Linked DNA regions of Oryzias latipes. The main gene of each other region encodes a partner of the protein of the gene in region 2 in a complex. Links are inferred from orthologs where the notes say so. Each region holds a gene or a part of one and is shown on either strand. Other genes may lie near its edges.

What was found.
Region 1: the proteins of nfkb1 (region 2) and kpna4 are in contact, whole or in part, in a crystal structure (PDB 7LFC), measured with the Homo sapiens proteins. The link is inferred for Oryzias latipes from reciprocal best matches to the Homo sapiens genes NFKB1 and KPNA4. Residues at the interface, in NP_001158884.1 of Homo sapiens: Glu357, Glu358, Val359, Gln360, Arg361, Lys362, Arg363, Gln364, Lys365, Leu366, Met367; in NP_002259.1 of Homo sapiens: Arg96, Lys97, Leu99, Ser100, Ser101, Asp102, Arg103, Pro105, Phe133, Trp137, Thr140, Asn141, Ala143, Ser144, Gly145, Thr146, Ser147, Thr150, Gln176, Trp179, Gly182, Asn183, Gly186, Asp187, Asn219, Trp222, Val225, Asn226, Arg229, His230.
Region 3: the proteins of nfkb1 (region 2) and txn are in contact, whole or in part, in an NMR structure (PDB 1MDI), measured with the Homo sapiens proteins. The link is inferred for Oryzias latipes from reciprocal best matches to the Homo sapiens genes NFKB1 and TXN. Residues at the interface, in NP_001158884.1 of Homo sapiens: Arg56, Phe57, Arg58, Tyr59, Val60, Cys61, Glu62, Gly63, Pro64; in NP_003320.2 of Homo sapiens: Thr30, Trp31, Cys32, Pro34, Met37, Ile38, Asp58, Val59, Asp60, Asp61, Gln63, Ala66, Ser67, Val71, Lys72, Pro75, Ser90, Gly91, Ala92.

Annotation. Positions count from the first base shown.
Region 1 is NC_019871.2:13,520,978-13,529,058, reverse strand, and holds the start of kpna4 (importin subunit alpha-3), read left to right. Parts: upstream 1-3,707; 5' UTR 3,708-3,869; coding exon 3,870-3,938; intron 3,939-5,890; coding exon 5,891-5,935; intron 5,936-6,080; coding exon 6,081-6,170; intron 6,171-7,612; coding exon 7,613-7,642; intron 7,643-7,777; coding exon 7,778-7,830; intron 7,831-8,081. Other genes in the region: arl14 (ADP-ribosylation factor-like protein 14), read left to right, coding at 1,230-1,544, 1,772-2,080. UniProt on the Homo sapiens protein: Functions in nuclear protein import as an adapter protein for nuclear receptor KPNB1. Binds specifically and directly to substrates containing either a simple or bipartite NLS motif.
Region 2 is NC_019868.2:30,823,976-30,832,079, reverse strand, and holds the start of nfkb1 (nuclear factor NF-kappa-B p105 subunit), read right to left. Parts: upstream 5,427-8,104; 5' UTR 5,172-5,426; intron 4,266-5,171; exon of another isoform or gene 4,247-4,265; intron 1,100-4,246; 5' UTR 1,095-1,099; coding exon 1,056-1,094; intron 501-1,055; coding exon 416-500; intron 1-415.
Region 3 is NC_019876.2:18,248,872-18,256,945, forward strand, and holds txn (thioredoxin), read right to left. Parts: upstream 4,256-8,074; 5' UTR 4,059-4,255; coding exon 4,035-4,058; intron 2,837-4,034; coding exon 2,732-2,836; intron 2,062-2,731; coding exon 1,996-2,061; intron 1,794-1,995; coding exon 1,728-1,793; intron 1,177-1,727; coding exon 1,114-1,176; 3' UTR 813-1,113; downstream 1-812. Other genes in the region: svep1 (sushi, von Willebrand factor type A, EGF and pentraxin domain-containing protein 1), read left to right, coding at 492-522. UniProt on the Homo sapiens protein: Participates in various redox reactions through the reversible oxidation of its active center dithiol to a disulfide and catalyzes dithiol-disulfide exchange reactions.

The DNA.
Region 1 (8,081 bases), on a different chromosome or scaffold from region 2:
CAATGAGTATGCGCAAAGGGGCTGTTTGTTGTTCCAGACTCCTGTCAGCTGTTAAGGAGTCTGATGGCAGAGGGAAAGAACGAGTTCCTGAGTCCTGTAGTCCTGCACTTCACACTCGTGTACCTCCGTCCCGAGGGGAGGAGAGTGCACAGATCTCGTTGCAGTTGGGTGGGGTCCTTGATGATGGAGGAAGTTCTCCTGTGGATCCTGCGTTTGTAGATGCTCTGAAGCGAGGGCAAAGGCGTCCTGGTGATCTTAGTCGCAGTCTTTACCACTCTCTGCAGGCATTTGCAGTCCATGGCAGTAGAGCTGCCGTACCACACTGTGATGCAGCTGGTCAAGATGGACTGTAGAAGTTGCTGAGGATCTTTGTGGACATGCCGAACTTCCTTAGCCTCCTCAGGATGTACAGCCGCTTATGAGCTTTCTTCATCAGCTGTGTGGTGTTAACTGTCCAGGTGAGGTCCTGGCTGGGGTGGACCCCCAGGTATTTAAAGCTGCTCACCCTCTCCACTTCCAGACCCCGGATAAGCAGCAGCTGATGAGGGTTCCTCTACTTCCTCATGTCCACTATCATTTCCTATGTCTTGTCTGTGTTGAGGGTGAGGTTGTTGTCCTTACACCATGTCACCAAAGTGGCCACCTCTCTCTTGGAGGCTGCTTCGTACACTAGTAAATTTCTTATCAGCTTACAGAATTGTTTTCAAAAATTGAACACATCACAAATTACGTGTACAAACTAAAAGTAAAATAATGTATTGAATGTTAATAGTTGATTTACTGATTGTGCAACTTTCTTCCAATATTTATCATCTATAAAAGTGTGCCAGTCCTTGGATCAAACCACCTTTCTCCATCAGCTGGGGACACCGAAGCAAAGCTGTGAGGTTAGTGCTGATAGACATTCAGCCAGGAGGGAATTTGATCTTCCCATTGTTTCAACTGAACTTCCTGTTTGCGGCAGTGTTGGAGGACTTTGGGCACGTGGGACGTGATTCTACATTCTGTTCTCTGGTTGTGAGCTGCATGTATGCACTGTCACTGTGGGTAAAAATAGCTTTCCTGAAAGCCGTGACAGCATGAATTTGGTCACAGAGGGGAGGGGTCACATGGTCTTCTTAAGGCACCAGTCTCAATATAAGCTCACAAAGCACAGACACACAAGCCTTCATACAAACTCAAGAGGATAAAGAAACTTTTCTGAAAGGGAACTTGTGCTCCACTGGAACATGGGTACGCGTGGATCCAAACCCAAGAAACAAGCGCAGGTCTTGATGCTGGGTCTGGACGGCTCAGGGAAGACAACACTGCTCTACAAACTGAAATACAACGAGAGCGTGGTAACTGTACGGACGGTGGGTTTTAATGTGGAAACCCTGGAAACCGACAGGAGCAGTCCAGAACTGACAGTGTGGGATGTTGGGGGTCAGAGGAAGATGAGGCCCCACTGGAAGCATTACTATCCTGACACCGCTGGCTTGATGTTTGTGGTGGACAGCTGGGATGAGAAGAGGCAGGATGAGGCCTGCAAGGAACTCCATCGGGTATTTCAGTTCATGTCTAACCTTGATCAGAAAAAAAATACAAGTGTTCCTATGTATATATGCATTTTTATTGTTTCTGAAGCAGTGAATGCAATACTAAAAAACAATTATTCCGAAACAAGTTAAAAAAAAAAATCTACAAACTATTCATCAAAAAAAGGGAACAAAATAAAAATCTTGATTTTGTTGATTTTAATAATTTTATTATTATTCTTTTTACCTTTTAGGTTCTGAGACACAAAAGTCTTAAAGAAGTTCCTCTTGTAATTCTGGCCAACAAACAGGATCTCCCTGGTTGCTGGAGTCCAGAAGCCCTCAGCCTGAAACTGGACCTGAGAAGGGTGTGTGCTGGAAGGGCGTGGTTCATTCAGCCCTGCTCAGCCGTCACTGGGATGGGGCTTGAGGAGGGTTTCAGGAGAATGGTGTATTTGATGAAGACTCCACTGAGGCAGACTCAAGAGCACATCAAGTTAACGATGAAAGCAAAAGGCTTGAAGTTCACATCAGCAAAAAAAGTCTTTTTTTGTTGCAGCTGATATCTCTTTTGTTCATGCTGGATTTACTTTTGTCTTCTTATGCTGCGTATTTGCAGACAGCAAAGCGGATGCATCTATGAGCTCAAAGAGGTTAGGGAGAAGGGCGGCTTCCCAGAAATCATGGAACAAGCAGAAGATCTGCTGGGAATAAGAAAATAAGAAACCAAGAGCATTAAGGGAAAGCTTTTGGGTTTTGAGGATATACATTTATATATAGATATATAAATAGATATCTATATATCTATCTATCTATATATATAGATAGATAGATATATGATATATATATTTTTATTCAAAATGTGTTTGTCTTCTGAAACAAAATGATATTGATTTAATGACTTGTACCAAATCAGTGAGAACTTAACCCTTGTGCTTTCCTGTGGGGTCCAGATGACCCGATCCTTACATTGACGTGTTCTTCCTACCATGACAAAGGTGGATTAAGGTGAATAGGATTTCATGTAATCCATGGACACCAGTGAAATCATTGAAGAAAAAATGTTCAGCGCACTGTCTTGTGGGGTCTAGATGACCCAACTCCCAATGTTAAAGTGACTCAGATAGCACAAAGGTTACAGCAGATTTATTAGTTCCCAAATGAATAAAGTAAATCTCTCATGTTGATGTTTTTTTTAATATTGGAACTTCAAATAAATGTAATTTTTATGAAGATTTTGGGTTTAAGGTGTTAAATATAAATATTCATAAAATATTATGGAAAAGTATAGTCATTTCCATGATTCCATTGAAAACATTGTCCAGATTAAAATAGTTTAAAACATCCGTGCCCCGCAGAATTTGGACAGATTTCACCACAGTATTCAGATTTACTAAAAGTTTGTTTTCGTGGTTTTAATGAGGTGGAACCCAAATTTATGTAAAAATAAATAAATATTAGAAATCAATTAAACAGTACACTATATTCAATTTTTAGATCTAATTATCCAAATGAATAGACTTTTCCATGATGCTCTATTTTTAAAATGGTATTCAATAAAAATCGTGATACTACTGATAATTTTGTAGTTGTAATATCGAATATAATGGCAACATGGTGTGAAACTGGGAATTACATTTTTAGCATTGTATTGTAGAGAAAAAAGACAGTTCTCCGATCTAGAATGCCTTACTTCTTAATACTATGCCAAAATTGAGCAATCCTATTCCCTTTTTTTATTCAGATTTTGACTGCCTTATGAGAAATAGCATAAACTAATTCATTATATATATATATATATATATATATATATATATATATATATATATATATATATATATATATATATATATATATATATATATATATATATATATATATTATATAATATAGTATAATAGTACATAGTATAATATATAATATATATATATCTAATATATATATAATTTTATTATAATAAAAAGAATTTAGAATTTTACAATTCCCTAATGAAAACTCCTTAAGAAATGATGCGACATGGATAGGGTTTTAGTGAAATGACATATTTAAGTTTAGGTGATCACGAATCAAACGTCTGCCTTCCTAAACATGAGCAGACGTGAGTCGGTATAATGCGGTGTCTTCTGCACACAGACGTGAGCGGTGAAACCAATGAGAGTGAGGGGGATTTCCCCACCCTTCCCTTACGCCAGAGCGAGGCTGCCCTCTACCACCGGCATTCCCAGTATGCACCGCGGACCGAGCAGCAAAAAATAGTCCACTAACGAAAGACTGCGAAAAGGGAACCAGAAACAGATAGCTTACCGGCTAAAACTCTGTCCAGTAATATTTAACGTAATCAGAACTACTAACATGGCCGACAACGAGAAACTGGACAACCAGCGACTAAAGAATTTCAAGAACAAGGGCCGAGATTTGGAGGTAAAAGTTGCGAAGATCGGTGTCCTCGCTTTCGTCTGCACAGCCGCCGCGCTCAGCCTTGCCCCTCGGCTCCGTTGTGACGTCGTTTCTAATTTACACCACGGGCAACTTTGCTGCCAGAAACTGGCGAGGGCCTTCAGAAATCAGTGTTTATTGGAGGCTGGAATCGTTGGGTCAATTTCGAACTGGTTTCGTTTTATCCCGAAACCGTGTTGGGTGTAAAACATGTCAGAAAAGCCTCCGCTGGATCAGCTCTGCTAGCCACCAGCTAGCAAGGCCTCCGGGAACATGCTAACTCCACTGATGCATATCATCCCCCAGTTCGGTCTCGCTCGGTCAGAAATGTTAACAGCTTGCATACAATTATTTACAAAGTACTTTTACGTTATCTTCTGAGAATGTGGTGTTAAGTTAAGCTAAAACAACGACAGATGTTCGTACTTCTAACATTGCAGTTAGCCCAACTGCGTGCTAGGTTAGCGCGGCGGTGCTGTTGGCTGCAGTTCCACCCATCCCCCGTCTTTATAATCAAAAACAATGGCGGAAACAAGTAAGCTTCTAACATGACCACTTATATTAGGCTCAAGTCCACACCAATAGTAATATAGTTCTATTTTATGCGTTAATAGGACGTATTCTCAGGAGAGCAGTCTCCCCTTAACACGTTTACTACATGATTCATAGATCAAAGCTGGACGTTGGTTCATCATGTCGGATCAATAAGTTACCAGGTGATTTACAGTCAGGTCAACGCGTAGCTGTTAATGCATTCCAGCTAGTATTGATATCGGTTTCAGGTGGGGTTGCAGACGCAGGAAACCACGCATCCTGTTTGAGAAGGTACATATATGTTGCGAGGGGGGCGTCGATGATTGTTACGTTAATTATTCGACTTTCAACTCGAGAACCGCGCGTGAAATTCGTTTCTCCAATGATAAACTTTAAGCATCAACACCAAGGTTCAATACTTAATGTAAATAACTTCTAATGCATGCAAAGGTTCACGAGGAATTGAGTCAACAAACATTGTCAATTTGCATTTACTTTGCCTCCACTGTGTGCATCTGACGTAGAATTGTTTCAGAGGGCGGCGGCCACGTGGGACAGTAAAGCTGCACCTTTACCGTGAATAGAAACACATCTAATGTCACATCATGCACTGCAACCTGTAGACATATCCGCTTCTGAAATAAATTTGGCTTGATGTAATTACTAAGCTGGTAGCTGAGGGAGGAAGTGCGTGCGATTTTCAAGATGTTTTTAGTGGGTTACCAGATCACTTCTCTCATTCATAGTTCTATTTTAAGTCATCTCTGTCATATGACATTAATATGTTTACTATTTTTGGTCAGTGTTATCACTAATAAAACAACTGACTGTGTGGACACAATTGAGACATAACTGGTCATAGTGAGGATCCTAACAAACTATGGTTTTAATATTTGCAACAGGTTTTGCTTGACTAGAAATCGAATAAAGTAATGGGTAGATGAATAATCTTGTATAGGAAAACCCTAAAAGTGATCCTTAAGGTCTTCTTCCAGTCATGTTGTTTTGTTGTAACTATTAACCTGCTTTTTCTTTTTTATTGAAAAAGCTTGCTATACTACCATTTCCTAAAAATGCAGTTCCCATTTTTGCCATTTTACTTTTTTTTCTTTTTGCATATGATACAAATATGTCAAAAAAGAACAATGAAACCTGAAAATGTAAAAATGATGTATCGGTCAGGTACTGTAGTTCTTAAAGCTGAGTTACATTTAGTCAGACTTGTGATACTCATTTGTAGTTGCAGACCTCTGCTTTATAGATGCTGTAGACTTAATGCCCAGACGACCTGCATCATCAATACCCGAATATACACAGTACCCTGATATTCTCATTTATTTCTCTAAATTTGTTTGGAAGGTTGAAATTTCCTAATTTAACTAAATTTAATATTTTCCTTGCAGACGATGAGAAGACAAAGGACTGAGGTTGTCGTGGAACTTCGAAAGGTAAATAAACTCTTTACTTAAGCCATTATTTAATTAATATTGCAGAATGCTCTCAGAATTGAATATTCAGCTATATTTTATATATACTTTGCAGTAACATAAATGGATGATTAGTGAAGTGAGCTCACTAACTTTTTCATTACAGAACAAAAGGGACGAGCATCTGCTGAAGAGGAGAAATGTTCCCCACGAGGACCTCTGTGAGGACTCTGATCTTGATGGAGATTTCAGATCAGTGAGTTTATCTTTCAAATATTCCTTTTTTACACCATTATTCAGAAAAACCATATATTGCATGTTTGAATTGCAATACTACTATTAGCAACAGGGATGACAGCTTGTCAGATATGGTATAGACTGAATTTGTACTGAGATTTTGTACATTTTTGGAAAGTCTTCAGATGCTGAGCAGGTTAGGTTTAGACTTTTGCATTTAGGATGCTGCTTTATTTTGTACTGACTAGGTGGGGCAAGATTGTTTCAAAGTGTGCAGTTTGTCTTGCTATGTACTCATTTTTCTTGATCAATGTGCACAAAAGCTTCAGTTGTTGCTCAAGATACTTACAGGCACAAAGAATGAAGCATTTCTAGATATTTTAGAGGCGCTATAAAGACAATAGATGGGTGACAGATGAAAATCTAGAAAATGTCTTAAAGCTGAACTAAGTGTGTTTGATCTGGATTCAGATGACAGAAAATTTAGACTGTTGGATAAAACATGCATTGAAGTGTTCAGTCTAGAGAAAAAAATCTGGTTCCTTTTAACAGCCAGGTGTATAAAGCTCAATTCACAGGGTGATACTTGTATCATAGTGCATCAGCAATGACAAGACGATCTCTGAATGGCATCTGGAGTTACTTGGCAGCTAAACTAGTTCTACAATTCTTTGTGTGCATACTTATAAGAAATCGATTTATTTTTATGAGTATTCACAAACAGTGAAATACAAATGTGTGTGTTGGTGATTTGTAATGGCCATTCAGTTTGTAAAAGATTCAGTGTAAATGCTTAATAGACCGGAGTTTGACTGTTTAAAAAAACACATTCCAACTGTAAAGGATTTCATTTGTTTTCTTGCCTGAGGAGCTTCTGTTGTCGTCACCAGTTCCAACCAGGCCATTTTGAGTGCTCGTTTTCAAACCTACATAATGATATCTGGTATATAGCACAGTTTTATTATAGATATAAAAGATACAACTGGCAGTTTAATAATTTCCCACAACCATCAAATGGAGTCACAAATATAAACTTTCTTTTTACCCAATAATTTTATTTTATTTTGTTATTTATCTCCAAATCGACTGCTAATTGTCCTCAGTGTTGACAATTTGGACTAAATCGAAGGAATCTGGTGGGTTTTTTTCTTTTTCTCTGCCATCAGCCAGGCTAACTCCCAATTAGGTTCCTATTCAGAAACAGTCTGAACTACTTATGGAGTTATCATGTTAAGTTGCCAGAAGGCACATTGCCATGCTAAATACTGGCCTCGTGTCTTAACCTCCTGACTGATTCTCAACACATTTTCGGGTTAAGTAACCAAGCTCATTTTCTGCTCTGGTTAGTTTGTTTTTGAATCATAAGACTATTTGAGCAAGGTTTCTGTGTTTTAAGAGCTTTATGCACCAAATATGAAACATAATTCAAATGCAATAACTCCAGGAAACTTTCTTTTGCAGCAAAACACCTCTCTTGAAGCAATAGTACAAGTAAGTCACTATTTAATTTCTCCTTTGGAATTTATGGTCTTGCTAACGGAATTTTGTTGTCCTTATTACCAGTTTTATAAAGCACGTATTTATTCAGTTTCACTGACTAATCATCTTGTTTCCTTTGATATATAGAATGCCACTAGTGACAACCAGGGTGTCCAGCTGAGTGCTGTTCAGGCTGCTAGGTAAACACACTTTAGTTTGTAGTTTTTGTTTGTACTTTAACCAAAACAAAAGTCTTAGTATTTTTTGCTCTGTGGAGCAAATGGTGGACTCATTTGAAAACATCCATAGTTGCAATATACGTCATTGTCCTAAAGACTTGATATTTCATTGCATCAATGCTGTAATACACCTAATGCTGCATTTCTGCTGTAGAAAAAGGCATTTTGTTTCCACAACCTACATGTGGCTCACAGATGTGTTTACAAGCCTC
Region 2 (8,104 bases):
CCCTTCAACAACTCCCTGAATGACCTTCCTGGACTCTGAGTGTGTTGGGTTGCCCACTGTTACACAGCCAGTGAACCTGACTGGATGTTTGTTCTTTAGACTGGACTCATTGAGTTCGCTGAAAGTGAACCAGAGTCTGTTACCCCCGACAATCCAGAACAGATGTTCAGTCTGGATCCAGACCAAACCAGAGGTTCAGAACCCGATCCGGAACAAAGCAGCGACTGCAGCTCGGTTCTGCGTTTGATCTGGTTTGTCGTGTTCAGGTTTAGAGAAACCTTCAGGGAGCAGAAATAAAGACGGGGTCACCAACGACGCTGGCGTTTTCCCGTGGCTCCTGCCTTTGCTCGGGGGCGCGAGGATGAGGAGGCTCTGAAGGTCAGACACACCCGACCGGTCTGTGACGAGGACTCACCTGTTTGCAGAGACGTGGACTGAGGCATCGCAGGGAAATGAGTAAACTCCCAGGACGGATCCATGATTAAGTTTCCATAAATCTGCTGGACACACACAGAGTTCTGGTGTCAGGATGTTCTGAGGAAGTTCTGGACTCCACCTCTGCAATGAGACCGGTTCCATCTGTGCTGCTTGGTGTTTGCAGCAGATCACTCTGAAAACCTGGACTCTGCTGAGGAACCTGGAGGTCCTGGAACTGCTCTTCATCATGAACATAGAACGATCCGAAAACCACGCTCATCAGAACATCCTGGTCCTCGTGCTGCAGGTAGGCTGGTGAACCCCCCAGAACCTGCAGAACACCTGACATTCAGAAAACTGGAACCAAAAGACTGGTGGAACCTCTTCAGACGGGACAGGATGGTAGAAGGTTCAGCTGGAAGAAACACGCCCAACGGAGGTTATGAGGGGTTCACCAACTTTTTCATGTGGGACCAGGGAACCAAACCGCCAACCCACCCATGTGGACCATGATCTTCACAGAGCAGATCAGCTCAACTACGAAAACATCATGAACATCTGTCCAAAAATGAGGTTTTCACAAACATCTGGGTCATTGTTCTGCAGGCTCCACCCCCTGCAGAGCAGGAAGAACGTACCTGGTTAGAAGCACGGAGGTAGTGGTCGTCTCCAGCCATGGCGTCTGCAGAGATCAAAGGTTAAACCATCATCATCTGCTGAATCTGAAGCTTCTTGTCCATTGACCATGTGGGCGGTGTCAGTACACAGACCCCCTACTACACCCACACAGACGTCCAACTGAGCCCACGCATACGGCTTCCTGCAGTGAGTAAACCTATGCAGACGCCCTACTAAAGCAATAACACCCACGCAGCCGTGGTACTACACCCATGCAGACGCCTTCCTGCAGTGACTACACCCACGCAGACTCCTTACTGATGCGACTACACCCACGCAGATGGCTTCCTGCCGTGACTACACCCACGCAGACTCCCTACCAAAGCAATAACATCCACGCAGACGCTGTACTACACCACGCAGACGCCTTCCTGCAGTGACTACACCGACGCGGACTCCTTACTGATGCGACTACACCCACGCAGACGCGGTACTACACCCATGCAGACGCCTTCCTTCAGTGACTACACCCAGGCGAACTCCTTACTGATGCGACTACACCCACGCAGAGGTCCAACTGAAGCAATTACATCCACGCAGACGCTGTACTACACCACACAGACGCCTTCCTGCAGTGACTACACCTACGCGGACTCCTTACTGATGCGACTACACCCACGCAGACGCGGTACTACACCCATGCAGACGCCTTCCTTCAGTGACTACACCCAGGCGAACTCCTTACTGATGCGACTACACCCACGCAGAGGTCCAACTGAAGCAATTACATCCACGCAGACGCTGTACTACACCACACAGACGCCTTCCTGCAGTGACTACACCTACGCGGACTCCTTACTGATGCGACTACACCCACGCAGAGGTCCAACTGAAGCAATTACATCCACGCAGACGCGGTACTACACCCATGCAAACGCCTTCCTGCAGTGACTACACCCACACGGACTCCTTACTGATGCGACTTCACCCACGCAGACGTCCAACTGAAGCAATTACATCCACGCAGACGCTGTACTACACCACACAGACGCCTTCCTGCAGTGACTACACCTACGCGGACTCCTTACTGATGCGACTACACCCACGCAGAGGTCCAACTGAAGCAATTACATCCACGCAGATGCGGTACTACACCCATGCAAACGCCTTCCTGCAGTGACTACACCCATGCAAACGCCTTCCTTCAGTGACTACACCGACGCGGACTCCTTACTGATGCGACTACACCCACGCAGACGCGGTACTACACCCATGCAGACGCCTTCCTTCAGTGACTACACCCAGGCGAACTCCTTACTGATGCGACTACACCCACGCAGAGGTCCAACTGAAGCAATTACATCCACGCAGACGCTGTACTACACCACACAGACGCCTTCCTGCAGTGACTAAACCGACGCGGACTCCTTACTGATGCGACTACACCCACGCAGACGCGGTACTACACCCATGCAGACGCCTTCCTTCAGTGACTACACCCATGCAAACGCCTTCCTGCAGTGACTACACCCATGCAAACGCCTTCCTGCAGTGACTACACCCATGCAAACGCCTTCCTTCAGTGACTACACCGACGCGGACTCCTTACTGATGCGACTACACCCACGCAGACGCGGTACTACACCCATGCAGACGCCTTCCTTCAGTGACTACACCCAGGCGAACTCCTTACTGATGCGACTACACCCACGCAGAGGTCCAACTGAAGCAATTACATCCACGCAGACGCTGTACTACACCACACAGACGCCTTCCTGCAGTGACTACACCTACGCGGACTCCTTACTGATGCGACTTCACCCACGCAGACGTCCAACTGAAGCAATTACATCCACGCAGACGCTGTACTACACCACACAGACGCCTTCCTGCAGTGACTAAACCGACGCGGACTCCTTACTGATGCGACTACACCCACGCAGACGCGGTACTACACCCATGCAGACGCCTTCCTTCAGTGACTACACCCATGCAAACGCCTTCCTGCAGTGACTACACCCATGCAAACGCCTTCCTTCAGTGACTACACCCACACAGACACCTTACTGATGCGACTTCACCCACGCACACGTCCAACTGAAGCAATTACATCCACGCATACGGCTTCCTGCCGTGACTACACCCACGCAGACTCCCCACTAAAGCAATAACATTCACGCAGATGCTGTACTACACCACGCAGACGCCTTCCTGCAGTGACGACACCCACGCGGACTCCTTACTGATGCGACTACACCCACGCAGACGCGGTACTACACCCATGCAGACGTCCAACTGAAGCAATTGCATCCACGCATACGACTTCCTGCCGTGACCACACCCACGCAGACTCCCTACTAAAGCAATAATATCCACGCAGACGCTGTACTACACCACGCAGACGCCTTCCTGCAGTGACTACACCCATGCAGACTCCCTACTAAAGCAATAACATCCACGCAGACGCTGTACTACACCCACGCGAACTCCTTACTGATGTGACTACACCCACGCAGACTCCTTACTGATGTGACTACACCCACGCAGACTCCTTACTGATGCGACTACACCCACGCATACTCCTTACTGATGCGACTACACCCACGCAGACTCCTTACTGATGCGACTACACCCACGCAGACTCCTTACTGATGCGACTACACCCACGCAGACTCCTTACTGATGCAACTACACCCACGCAGAGGTCCAACTGAAGCAATAACACCCACACAGCCGTGGTACTACACCCATGCAGACGCTTTCCTGCAGTGACTACACGCAGACGTCCAACTGAAGCACTTACATCCACGCAGACGGCTTCCTGCCGTGACTACACCCATGCAGACTCCTTACTGAAGCAATTACATCCACGCAGACGCCCTACTAAAGCAATAACATCCAGGCAGACGCTGTACTACACCAAGCAGACGCCTTCCTGCAGTGACTACACCCACGCAGACTCCTTACTGATGCAACTACACCCACGCAGAGGTCCAACTGAAGCAATAACACCCACACAGCCGTGGTACTACACCCATGCAGACGCTTTCCTGCAGTGACTACACGCAGACGTCCAACTGAAGCACTTACATCCACGCAGACGGCTTCCTGCCGTGACTACACCCATGCAGACTCCTTACTGAAGCAATTACATCCACGCAGACGCCCTACTGAAGCAATTACATCCACGCAGACGCCCTACTACACCTACCTGCAGAGACTACACCCACAAGTTAAGAAGATGCTTCACCTGCCAATGTGGAGGTCTCATGACCTTTTGCATCGTGTTCTCATTGGTGATTCCAGAAGCTGCTGAGACAAGAACTTAAGCGAGGTTCTAACAGTTTGTTCTTTAATTGCAGGAACATCTGTGAAAGTGATGATGATGACAGTAGAACCTCCTCCAAACTGAAGAGGCAGAAACCGTCACCATCGACAGGTTTGAATCAACCTTCCCATAACACAGAACCCTCAAAGTTCTGTCTGGCAGTTCAAACCGAAGCAACAACAACAACAACAACAACAACAACAACACAGAGCAGCAGATAAACAAACCAGCTGCCTATTTGTAAACAGTATGGGTGGGGGCGGGGATAGTCCAGGACTTTTTTATGAAAACAAAAATGTTCCCATCCTTCGTGCCAATTATTAAAGCGTTTTTTTCAACTTCGGAATTTGGGTAGGAACATCTGATTGTGCGCGTGCCTGCTGCGCGGGAACTCGCTCAGCCTCCTGAACGCCGCGAGGCTCGTTGTTTACGTTCTTTTAGAACACATTTACACATTTGCTGTCGGTCCCACGGTGAGCCCGTGCGTGGGCTCTTCCAGTCTGACTGCTGCGTTCACGGTCCGGTCCAAACAGTCAGAGATTCCGCCACGTGTTAAACTTAAACCGCCATGAGCCGACGTTCCCTCGTTTCCGAACGTTTTCCGGTCAGATTCTTTATGGTTTGTCTTTGTTGCCGTACTGCCGCGAGCACGCGACCGTCACCTTATTAACACAATAAACTTGGAATAAAATGAGTGTATTTCTACTTTTTGCCTCTTTGTTGTGGTAAAGTCCGCGCGCGAAAACGAATGTCCGAAGAACAAGGAAGTGAAAGGAAGTGGCGTGGTCTGTTCTGACCCGGTTCTTACCTGTTCAGCTCAGGTGAACGTCCGCAGGTGAGGGTTCTCGTGCCGCTTCACCTCAGGGGCTCTCGCTCATTTTTTTGTTTTTTTTGTTTATTATTCTGTCGGAGCGAATTTCTGCCTTTTTTAACGGCTATGCGTCATCACACGACACGAGCGCGTGCCTGCAGCTTCTAACAGCTAAAACGAAGAAACAAATGTGCGCGAGAGAGTGACGTATTGGAGAGCGCGAGCGCAGGTGACAGGGCGCGCGCTAAAGTGAGAATAAAGCAACTTCCTTCCTCTTGGAAATTCCCCGTGACGTAAAAGGAAACAGAGAGCGCGGTAAAACGAGGAGGTGTCACTCTGAGCGCAAAAGCGAAAATGTCCCCAAAAACTTTTCTGCGACACAAACCAAAGAGACGCGCGGAGGATCCACAAACAGAACCAGAACAACAAGACAAACCGAAACCATCAACAGGATCCAGAAAGAGGAAGAATGTAATGTTAGAGACAGATCAGGATTTCCTTTTTAAAAACACACCAACCATATTTATAGACGGGATAGAATTTAAGCTATGGTGTTAATTTCAGGTTCTTAAATGGTTTATTTTTTATCTTCAGTGAGCCGGGAATATTTTTAAAATGTAAGGATTACTGAGGGGAAGAACAAACTAAATATCTGTGCGGACTCTCCTTCATTCTGGATGGATCCACAGCAAAGAAGGTTTCAAAGGAGAAAACATCTTCAGCTTAAATGATGTCCAGACAAGCCTGTAAAGCAAAATACCTTTTCCTGAAACAGATTCAACCCTGAAGGATATTTGTACGAAAAGGTAATGTAGGCTCTGGGTGGTCAGGAGAAACTCCCAGATGAGGCAGGTAGGAGTGTACTTGGTCATCAGGACGGAAGGATGACAGGAGAGTTGGTGGTGGAATGAGGAGGTGCAGGAGTTTCTACAGACTAAAGGCCCGTACACACCGGGACGAATATTCGCCAGGCGTTATTCGCCAGCGTTTTTCGCCACGTTTTTTGTGTTCACACCCAGGCGATTTTCGCTGACGATGAGCCGAGCGAACATGCAATTTCATTCCCTGACGTTAGATGGCGCTTAATGTAAAACAGAAATACTCCTGTACACAAGGTGGCGCTGCGCAACTTTACGATTCTTAAAGTCGCTTTTCACTCTGAAAAAGAGAGCAAGTATTTACGCGCTAGTCAGAATAATACAAAGAAAACATGAATATTTCAAGCACCAGTAGCTCCAACTGGTGCTTGGTAAGGGGATATTTTAGAATGTCCGTCATTATTTCTTTGCGGCAGTGTTGACGCTACTTGGCGTCTAACTTCTTCGCTGGTATGTGTGCTCAGCAAGGCAGTTTTGTGTTTGAGCGCCCCCAAGTTGTGTTTTACTGTAACTTCAGAAGCTCCAGACACGTGAGCAAAAGCGCCATTCTCATTGGTCGAATAGATTTCGACGAGACGCGTCGGAAAAAAAAAACGAACCCGAGGCGTTTTTTTTTTTTGACGCTTTGGCGCTTGGCGTTTTTTCGCGTCGGTGTGCACACTCACATTGGTGCCCTTTGTTTAGTCACGAGGCGTTAAACGTCGGCGAAAATCGCCGGCGAAATTCGTCCCGGTGTGAACGGGCCTTTAAGAGGGAGAGACTGACCTGTACAGATGAGCAAGGCAGAGAGAGTGAGAAAGGAAGGGCATGCAGCAGGTTAGAGTGGCTAAGGGTTGGGATGGTTACAGATTGACAGGTGTCAGAGAAGACTTTGAAGAGTTGAAGGAAAACGCCTTCCTTCTGAAGGAATCTTTTCTGGATTGAGCTGGGCATGAGCGGCCCATCAGCTGACATGGTGTCTGTCACGTGAGTCTGGTGGGTCCAGGTGGATCCTGGTGGGTGCAGGTGGATCCTGGTTGGTCCTGGTGGATCCTGGTGGAATCCGGGTGGGTCCAGGTGGATCCTGGTGGGTCCTGGTGGGTCCTGGTGGAATCCGGGTGGGTCCAGGTGGATCCTGGTTGGTCCAGGTGGATCCTGGTTGGTCCTGGTTGGTCCAGGTGGATCCTGGTTGGTCCAGGTGGATCCTGGTTGGTCCAGGTGGATCCTGGTTGGTCCAGGTGGATCCTGGTTGGTCCTGGTTGGTCCAGGTGGATCCTGGTTGGTCCAGGTGGATCCTGGTTGGTCCAGGTGGATCCTGGTTGGTCCTGGTGGATCCTGGTTGGTCCAGGTGGATCCTGGTTGGTCCTGGTGGATCCTGGTTGGTCCAGGTGGATCCTGGTTGGTCCAGGTGGATCCTGGTTGGTCCAGGTGGATCCTGGTTGGTCCAGGTGGATCCTGCCATGGTCTGGAACTCAGCAACAAACTAACAAACCACCACTGTTTAGTATTTCTTTTAATGTGATTTCACACACAGAAATTCTGCAGAGAAATGTCTACAACACCAACATTCCACTTTAGTGATGACGACGTTCAGCATGAGTCCAAACATCTCATCTAGGAGAATCTGGGAAACAATTAGTGCAATTTACAGTTTAACCATCACAGCTGAAAATAAAAACAGCGTCTGTGTGCAGAAATATCCACGTCATCTAAGACCGTAAGTACAAACATTAAAACATCTGCAGGATGTTCTGAGGCACGAGAGCGGCACCACACACATCATCGCGACACACTGAAGCGAGGCTCCACCCACCGGCAGCCTGAGGGGGCGGAGCCACACACTCACAACAGAGGTGAAAGCAGAGATAAAAGCAGCAACATCACAAAGTGAACGGCAGTGTCAATATGAAGAGGAGCCCCCGACTGCACTATGACTGAAAATCACTAATGCTTTTTGTGTCTTTGTTTCCACACAATTTAACACAAATATCTTCAGGATTTTCACTAAATCAGATTTAAACTTGAAAGAGTTGTGAATATGGTGCAGGAGCTAGGACCTGGGGGGCAGCTGGT
Region 3 (8,074 bases), on a different chromosome or scaffold from region 2:
GAAAAGTATGGATGAATAAAACAATATAAATATTTAATAAGTGTTTCCCTACATTTCAACTAAAAGCCAGAATAAAAAGCTAGGTCTTGAACCTTCCTTTATAAGGCACATTTGTGATCCTGAGGTTCTCTGGGAAGCTGTTCCACAGGCGAGGTCCATAAAAACTAACTCGCCGTATGTTTTGGTTCCAACTCTGGGAATCTAGAGGCCCGTGCCAGAGGACCTAAAGGGTCCTGAGGGCTTTTCATGTAAAAACCCCTTTTCTGAGTTCGTTTTTGTACTTAAAAGTTCAAACATTGAAAGTATTTTTTTAAAAACGTGCTTTAATACCTTCAGTGGCACCTTAAGATTCACAATTAAGTAAAATAATATTTGCATTTATTCCATAGGAAAAAAAAAAATCACTTTTTATTCAAACTTTTTCAAATTCTGCTTGAACGCAGATGTTAAGCTATTTGTGCTAAAACCTTTTTTTTTCTTCTTCCCTGCAGGAAGAGGAAATCTGTTTACTACCATTTCTAAAGGTTCCAGTCACCTCCATGTGAATCATCTAATGAAGGGATTTCCTGTATAGTTTCTGGACTCTTGCCAACTTTTCATTTCTCTTCAAAGTCAAAAAAAGAACCAGTTTGTAAATTTAAAGCTGTATTTTTTCATATAAAGACTTAACAGTATTAAACATGCGCTGCTATATATACTTGTATGATGTGTAAAAAAAGATTGATGTGACCGTTCCAGTGTTTATGTGTAAACTATTGTCACATTTCTATTAAAGCATTAAATGCTATTAGAAGCTCTTTGTAGTCGGGCAGTTTAGGGTTTGATTCATTTATTAAATCCATACAGAGGTAACATGGATTACTCAAACTTCATAAATGGTTAGAGTAGAAAAAAAAAATAAAAAAATAAAACCTGGACTGAAGTAAATGCAGTACACAAACTGTTCAACTCAGGATAGATGACAAGTTAGTGCCAACATTGGGGAAAAAAACAAAACTTGATAGCAGTTAAACATGACGCTTAGCTGCAATTCTTTCTTTGGGTGTGTTATGAGGTGAAGACTTTATCAGTTATGCGTTTTATTTTCTGCTCTGGTCAGTCTGACTTCTACTCCTATCTCAGTGCTTTCAGCTTTTCCTCCAGGGTTGCAACGTTGGCACCAGAGAACTCATCCACCTGGAAAAATAAAAACATAAAAAAATGACAGAAGTTGAAAAGGTGAGATCTAATATTTGCAAACAAAAACTAGCCGTTTCTGCTACTGCAGGATGGACATTAGGGCTTCCAGGCTGGTTTAATTGTTTAAGTCAAGCTTACACAGGGCTTAAACAGGGATCACTTAAACCAGGGCACACATGGCTCTCTGGTTAAAGAAAGACAAAGAGGTTTTCCTTTTAAATAGCAAAAAAGACAAAGTAAACTTAAACTTCATTCAACTCATTCCACAACATTTGACAGACGGGACGCATCACAAGTCAAACTAAAACATTTTGGCAGATTTTTGGGCCCCATGTACCAAAGGAAATCAATTTGAGGGCAGTAAGTACACTCAATTTATAAATAGTATTTTACAAATACAAGGATTTTAAGATAACCTTATGGTTTGAAAAATACAGTAAGACTCTCTTAATGATCCCATGTGACACAGGGTCTCTTTTTTTAAAGGAAGTCATCAGAACCTCTGTAAAAAGTTATAAACTTTTCAACTACTGCACTCAGTTACTTACCTTTTTGCCCCCCTTGTAGAAGTGGAATGTAGGCATGCATTTAATTTCACAGAAACTGCTGATATCCTGAAAGAGAAAAAGCAACAGTTTTTTTTTATGAATCAAAATTAAAAAAAATAAAAATACAATTATTAAGTAATTATTGTTGCTGGCCCCCAATTGCAACCTAACGCTTTCATAAAGTAGAGAGACTAAAAACAAAAGCTGGTTTTGCCCATTAAAACAAAGCTAGTTTGTACTGGCCAAGGAGGAGAACGTGCACACTCACATCAGCCTCGTCCACATCCACCTTCAGGAAAACCACATTCTTGTTGTCATCGCTTTCCGACATTTGCTGCAAGACAACAAGTACATACAACAACAGTACATTAGACTCAACTCTACAGAAACAGAGCACTTTTACTGAAAAATCATACTGGGTGTGTGTTGGACCATTTCCTGTGAACAAGCACTTCCTCTCCTTGAAGTGGGGAGGTAAACCTTATAGGGTTGCCATAGTAACAATGCATCTACATTTAAACACCGTTTTCAATTGGTCCCCCTGTTTCTATTCGCTGGTTGGGACGGTTGACAGAGAGGGGTTGTAACTTCCGAGCTCTCCGACTAGCTTAAAGCCCATCAAACCCCCAACCTAACACTACAGGTGAAACAAAAATGGTGAGCAATATCGGAGCTATCAGGCATACAGTTTTGAGCCGGATGACAGCTCAGACGAGGAAAACAAAGACGTACATGGATCCATTTGTCTGCAAGTAGAGGCATCAGTATGGAGTGGAGCAGGGAGCTTGTGGCCTGCAGATTGTAGCTTCTACATTACAACTACAAGCTCTGTCAAAACTGTCCTTTCTTGCCTGTGACTGATTCACAATAAGAAAAAGAAGTACTCAGAAATGCATTTTTAAGCTTAAATTTCTTTATACATGTTCTCCTTTATCAGAAAATGGGCACAAAAACATGTTAAAAACATTTTCATCGGATCAAGTCTTTAAGCTCCAGTTATCTACCTTGTACAAGGGGGCAATCTGTTTGCAGGGCCCACACCATGATGCAGTAAAGTCCACAACCACCAGCTTGTCTCCAGCGTCTTCCAGAATTTTCTTGAATTCTGCCTACAAAAAAAGCATGTTTCCATCATTTATTTTAAATAAGCATAAAGGTAAAGAATTCGTTTAAATAAATTACTTCATTTTGTCAGCAGGCTTTCCCATAGTGTAACGATAAGTGGTTATCAAAGGTTTGGCTAATGATTAGCAGAACAGCCCCAGATCAAAAGCAGTCGCTGTATCTGAATTCCCACCCTAACCCCCAACTTCTAAAAAAAACTATAGAGTGCACCGACTTAAAAGCAATTTGGACACCATGCCCACTACTTTTTTTTTTAATTTACGGCGGATATGACGTCATCGATTTCACGAAGTTAAAATCTAATTGATAGGAGCATTTTGCGAGGATCATTTATCAGTCTTCTGAAGATAAAAACACTTGACAGGTTGTTCAGAAAGTACATTTAAATACATTTTTAAGCAAAAATAGATTTGATGCCATGCATTGTGATCTATATTCACAGATCTAGTGAGCATTGATGCACACTGTTTTTTTGCGGAGATTTCTGGGAAATTTGCAGGGCACTCGATTTTGGAATTGTAGAATCGGACAGCACTACAAAATGGCGAACGCACAGTGCACTTTGTAGTGATTAGTGAAGGAATTCGGACGCAACCAGTGACACCCAGAAGTCTGAATGATTTCAGCAGTTTTGACATCCAGGCATGTGTACACACGGACAGAGGCGGCCCGAGGCCTAGCGGAATGGTCCAAGTGTCGCAAATAGGAGTTGACTTTTACTCAAACTAGTACTTTATTGTAGCTTTCTGCTCATCTGAGCCATGATAGGAACGTTTTTTTGGTGTATTACTAAAAGATTTTTTATCTAGTTAACGGTAAAACCTTTCCGAAAACTTGTAACCCTGGCAACGTGTTCGCGCGGCAACAAGATAGCAAAGTCCGCCCTCGTGCATCATGGGTAGAAAATGGAAAAAAAGAAAAAACAACTAAACATTAGCAATACAGCCTCCAGAGTTATTCTGTCGGAGTAATTTATTCCATCAACGACAATAAACATGCTAACTCTAAGCGAATAAATGCTTTAACAGGGTTTTTTTTTCTTGCAAAAAAGGTAAGTAGATAGAAGCTTGCTGAGAAAATAACCGCGCGGCTACCTAACGTCAACTGTGCTGTCCTGAATGTATGTAGTAGTACAGCGAAATAAATAAAGACATGATTAATTGTATTTATAGAACTACTTACAAGATCAGCCACTTCACGGACCATGTTTGCTGTTTTGAAAAGGCAAACTCTCGCTGAATCTAAAAGACAGCGGCTTCGCAAAGACCACACTTTCAGTCAAAGAGGATGACCTGCCCTATTTATAACGGCGTCAGACTAACACGTCGCAGCGGAAGAGCTGATGGGTTGACTAACAAAATAAAAGCCAGTCTTTTATGTTTAAGCGAATCATTTATATTAAAAGAACGCCGTGTGTATACGTCATTGCCACTATGATTGTGCATGAAATGTGTTGTAACCGTACTTGATTTCATGTTGTATCAGCAGTTGTGTTATTACTGGTAAAGCTTCACGAAAAATACTTTTATTTTGAAAGTTATAAACAGAATGGTTTCCTTTCCTGGATTCTTGCAAATATTTTAGCTCTTTACTGAGAATAAAAACTACAGAATCGGTGATGTCAGGCTATATATATCTGAGGCCCGTTAGTGCTTCGTTGTTGTTTCGTTGCGGCTTAAAATAACTTGCAAAACTAATCTACTAACAATAACGCGTCCTTTTAGAGAATTATATCGATAGTAAGTTGAAATACTTTTTTTGTTTTTAATTCCGTCAACGCTTGATCAGACAGTCGAATCACAATGACTTGGCAAATTTCTGTACTACCGTAAACATGGTCACTGCAGACCATATTTCCTTGTACAAACTCTGGTCAACGCCCATGAGGCCACACCCCTGCACTAGTCTTATTACGTAATAGCTTAAAAAGACTTTATTTGTTTATTCTTTTACAACTAAAGTAAGGGGTAAACAATAAACAGAAAAGTCCATACTATAACAAAAAATTGCAATATTTAGACAAATTATTGCAGTTTGATCATGGTTGGAATAAGTTTAGGGAAGTGATTTAATCAGAAGATTAATTCTAAAAGATGGTACACAAAGACTTGTTTTTCCATTTACATATTTGAATAAAGAATTTGAGTATTTAGACTACATATGTGAATGTTCCAACAGGTTCTATCGTAAAAATAAGGAAACTTCATTTGAAGCCTAAGAATTGCCTAATTTAGACCTTAAAACATTTTTTAAAAGTATCTTTGCATAATTCCATTCTTTAAAATATGATGCAAGTTCAAATCAGTTAGGCAATGCATGCAATACCAGCATACATCAATAAAGACCAAAAACAACCTTTATTATAGAATAAACAACAATATCTGGTTACAGTTTTATCTATGTCGCTGTAAAACAAGCAAATGTCACTTTTGGATTTTTTTCCCCGTTCAGGTAGAAGCCGTGTCACAGCTGTAAGAAAACAATCTTTTTATTTACGTTTGTCCGGGAAAAAAAGAGAAAAATACTAAACAATTTAAATAAAACTACATTCTATTGAGAAATACAGACATATCTCACACATATGTATTTTAAAAATAAAATTAATTCACTAAACACTGAAAAGACAATACATATCTTGTAGTTATTTTTCAGTGCAGTATATGTAAAATCCTCCTTCATTAATTGTGTAAAGACCTTTATTGGTCATCCATCAGACAGCAACAACGGCTTTGCCAGTGTTGTCTCCTTTCAGCATCCCCTTAAAAGCAGCTGGCATGTTTTCAAAGCCTTTGGTGACGTGCTCCCGACATTGCAGTTTTCCCTGCAGAGGCGTCATGTGTGTATACAATTAATAGCAGTGACACAGAAATCTTTTCATTCCTGATTGATGCTCCACATTACCTGTTTGAACCACGCCATCAGCCTCTTGAGGCTTTCAGGATGCTTGTGTGTCCACCATCTTCAGTTGGTACAGCCCTAACAAAACACAAATACAATAGTCAGAAGAAGTACAGTCTCTGGCTCATCTGCAATGCAATAGGGCTCTCTAGTGGGATCGAAGGTTATTGCAAAATAAGTACACAGTTTATAACATTTCTGAAACAGGAAGAGTACATAAAATGCTGAATCAGAGTTTTTTTTTTTTTTTTTAAAGAACTTTATCGAACACAAACCAAAAACATCCCAAAATATGGTGGATACTAGTAGAAAGAATATAGCAATTGAAAAGGAAGCACAAACAAAATAAAATAGAGTACTTATCAATATGCATACATATACGTGCAAATACACAAGACACAAGAAAACAACAATTTCAGAGTTTAATAGTGACACCAAATGCTGGTTGGTACAACAATGACTAAATAAACCGTCTCAGATAGTATCGCTCAGAATATCATAAACTGTTATGCTTTTGGTAAATTGATTAATCTTAGGGGTTTTAAGTATAAATTGACTTCTGCATTAAAGAAGGTAATGTTGGGGTGACATTTCTGTAATTGTTTTTGTGTATAAAAAACTTGACTATTCATAAAATGGTATTGATACATAAATAAATACATTTTTGTGTAGTGATATGCCGAAAATTATGACTTCTTTTTAAAAAAAGGTTCACAATGAATGGGAATTTATTTTTCAACTATTTGTAAACATCTAACCAAAAAATGTGTACAATGCTACACAGGAAAAATATGTGGTCGGTGTCTTCAACAGCAGTTTGGCAGAAGGAACAGCTGTTGTCATCAATGTTGAAACGTAATCTAAGTAATTCTTTGGAGGGATGAATATTATTCATAATTTTGAAGTGTGTTTCTTTAACTTTTGGGAGAATAGGAAGTTTCATGAATTTGGTTCTGAATTTAGAAACAACATTTTGTTCACATTTCTGTAATATATTATTTTTGTTCTATCGTCCAGGAAATAATCTTTCAATTAACCAATTTCTGATAAAAGAGTTATTACATTTTTTTCCATAAGAGGGCATGCTTCAGTTGATAATGTGGCTAATTGTGGTTTTATCATTACATGTGTCATTGTGTTCCTTGTTAGAAATACTAATTCTCGAGAAAGAGCATTACGTACTTTTAAGAATCCTGAGATAGGAGGATTGAAGTTATGTCTTAAACACAATTGCTCATAATCTAAAAAATTGCCCTTCGTGTATATCAGATCAGTCACCGACCAAACACTTTGCCCAAACCATTCAGCACAAAACAAGGACTTGTTTCTATGGAGCATGTATTCATTGTTCCAAATAGTACTTAAGTTTGGTGATGCACATACAATATTTTCCAGTATAGCAGAATTTGTTCATGGAATTCTGATAATGCTATAGGGAGCTTATTAACATCAAAATCACTAATAAGCACACACTTTAAGCTGCCTGATTTGTTAAATAAATAATTTGGGACAAAAAACCAGAAGGATTGGTTGTGTTTGATCCACGATTTTATCTATAGGATTCCGTTACGGCAGTCAAAATTCATAACTTTGAGACCACCATCTTTAAATTCTTTGACCATATAGTTATTTTTCATGTGATGATGCTTGTTTCTCCAAATAAAGTTTAAAGTCATTTGGCAGATGGATTTTATCATTTTGTTTGGGATGGCATTAGAGTAAGATGGGTGAATACATCTTGACAAACACTCCATCTTTGTCAGATAGATCCGGCCCTGCATCGATAGGTCTCTTTGGAGCCACATATTCAACCTCATCTTACATTCATCAAGTTTTTCCCCCACATTGCTTGATTAGCTTATTTTTTGGTCTTTGTTGATGTAGATGCACAGGTATTTAATTTCTGATTTAATGGACATATGATTGATTTCTTTTACAGGTGTGTCATGAATAGCCAATACTGTAGTTCACAGTTCTTTAAGTTTAAGTTTAACCCTGATGCTTTGGAAAAGTGTTTTATTTTTTCAATAGCTGCTGTAATTTGATGCTCCTCTTTGAAAAACAGTGTTGTGTCATCTGCTAGCTGGCTAATAATGATCTCTGTGCCCAAGACATTTGACTTTTTTATCTCATTACAATTACATCAATATAAATGGCCAACATCTCAGTAGCTAATAAGAACAGATATGGGGAGATGGGACAAACTTGAGGGATTCCTACATCAACTTTGAAACTTGGGGTGGTGCCATTAGGAAGGATAACACAACTATTGATATTCTGATATGTACCATAGACAAGGTTATTAAATTTAGTGCCAAAACCAA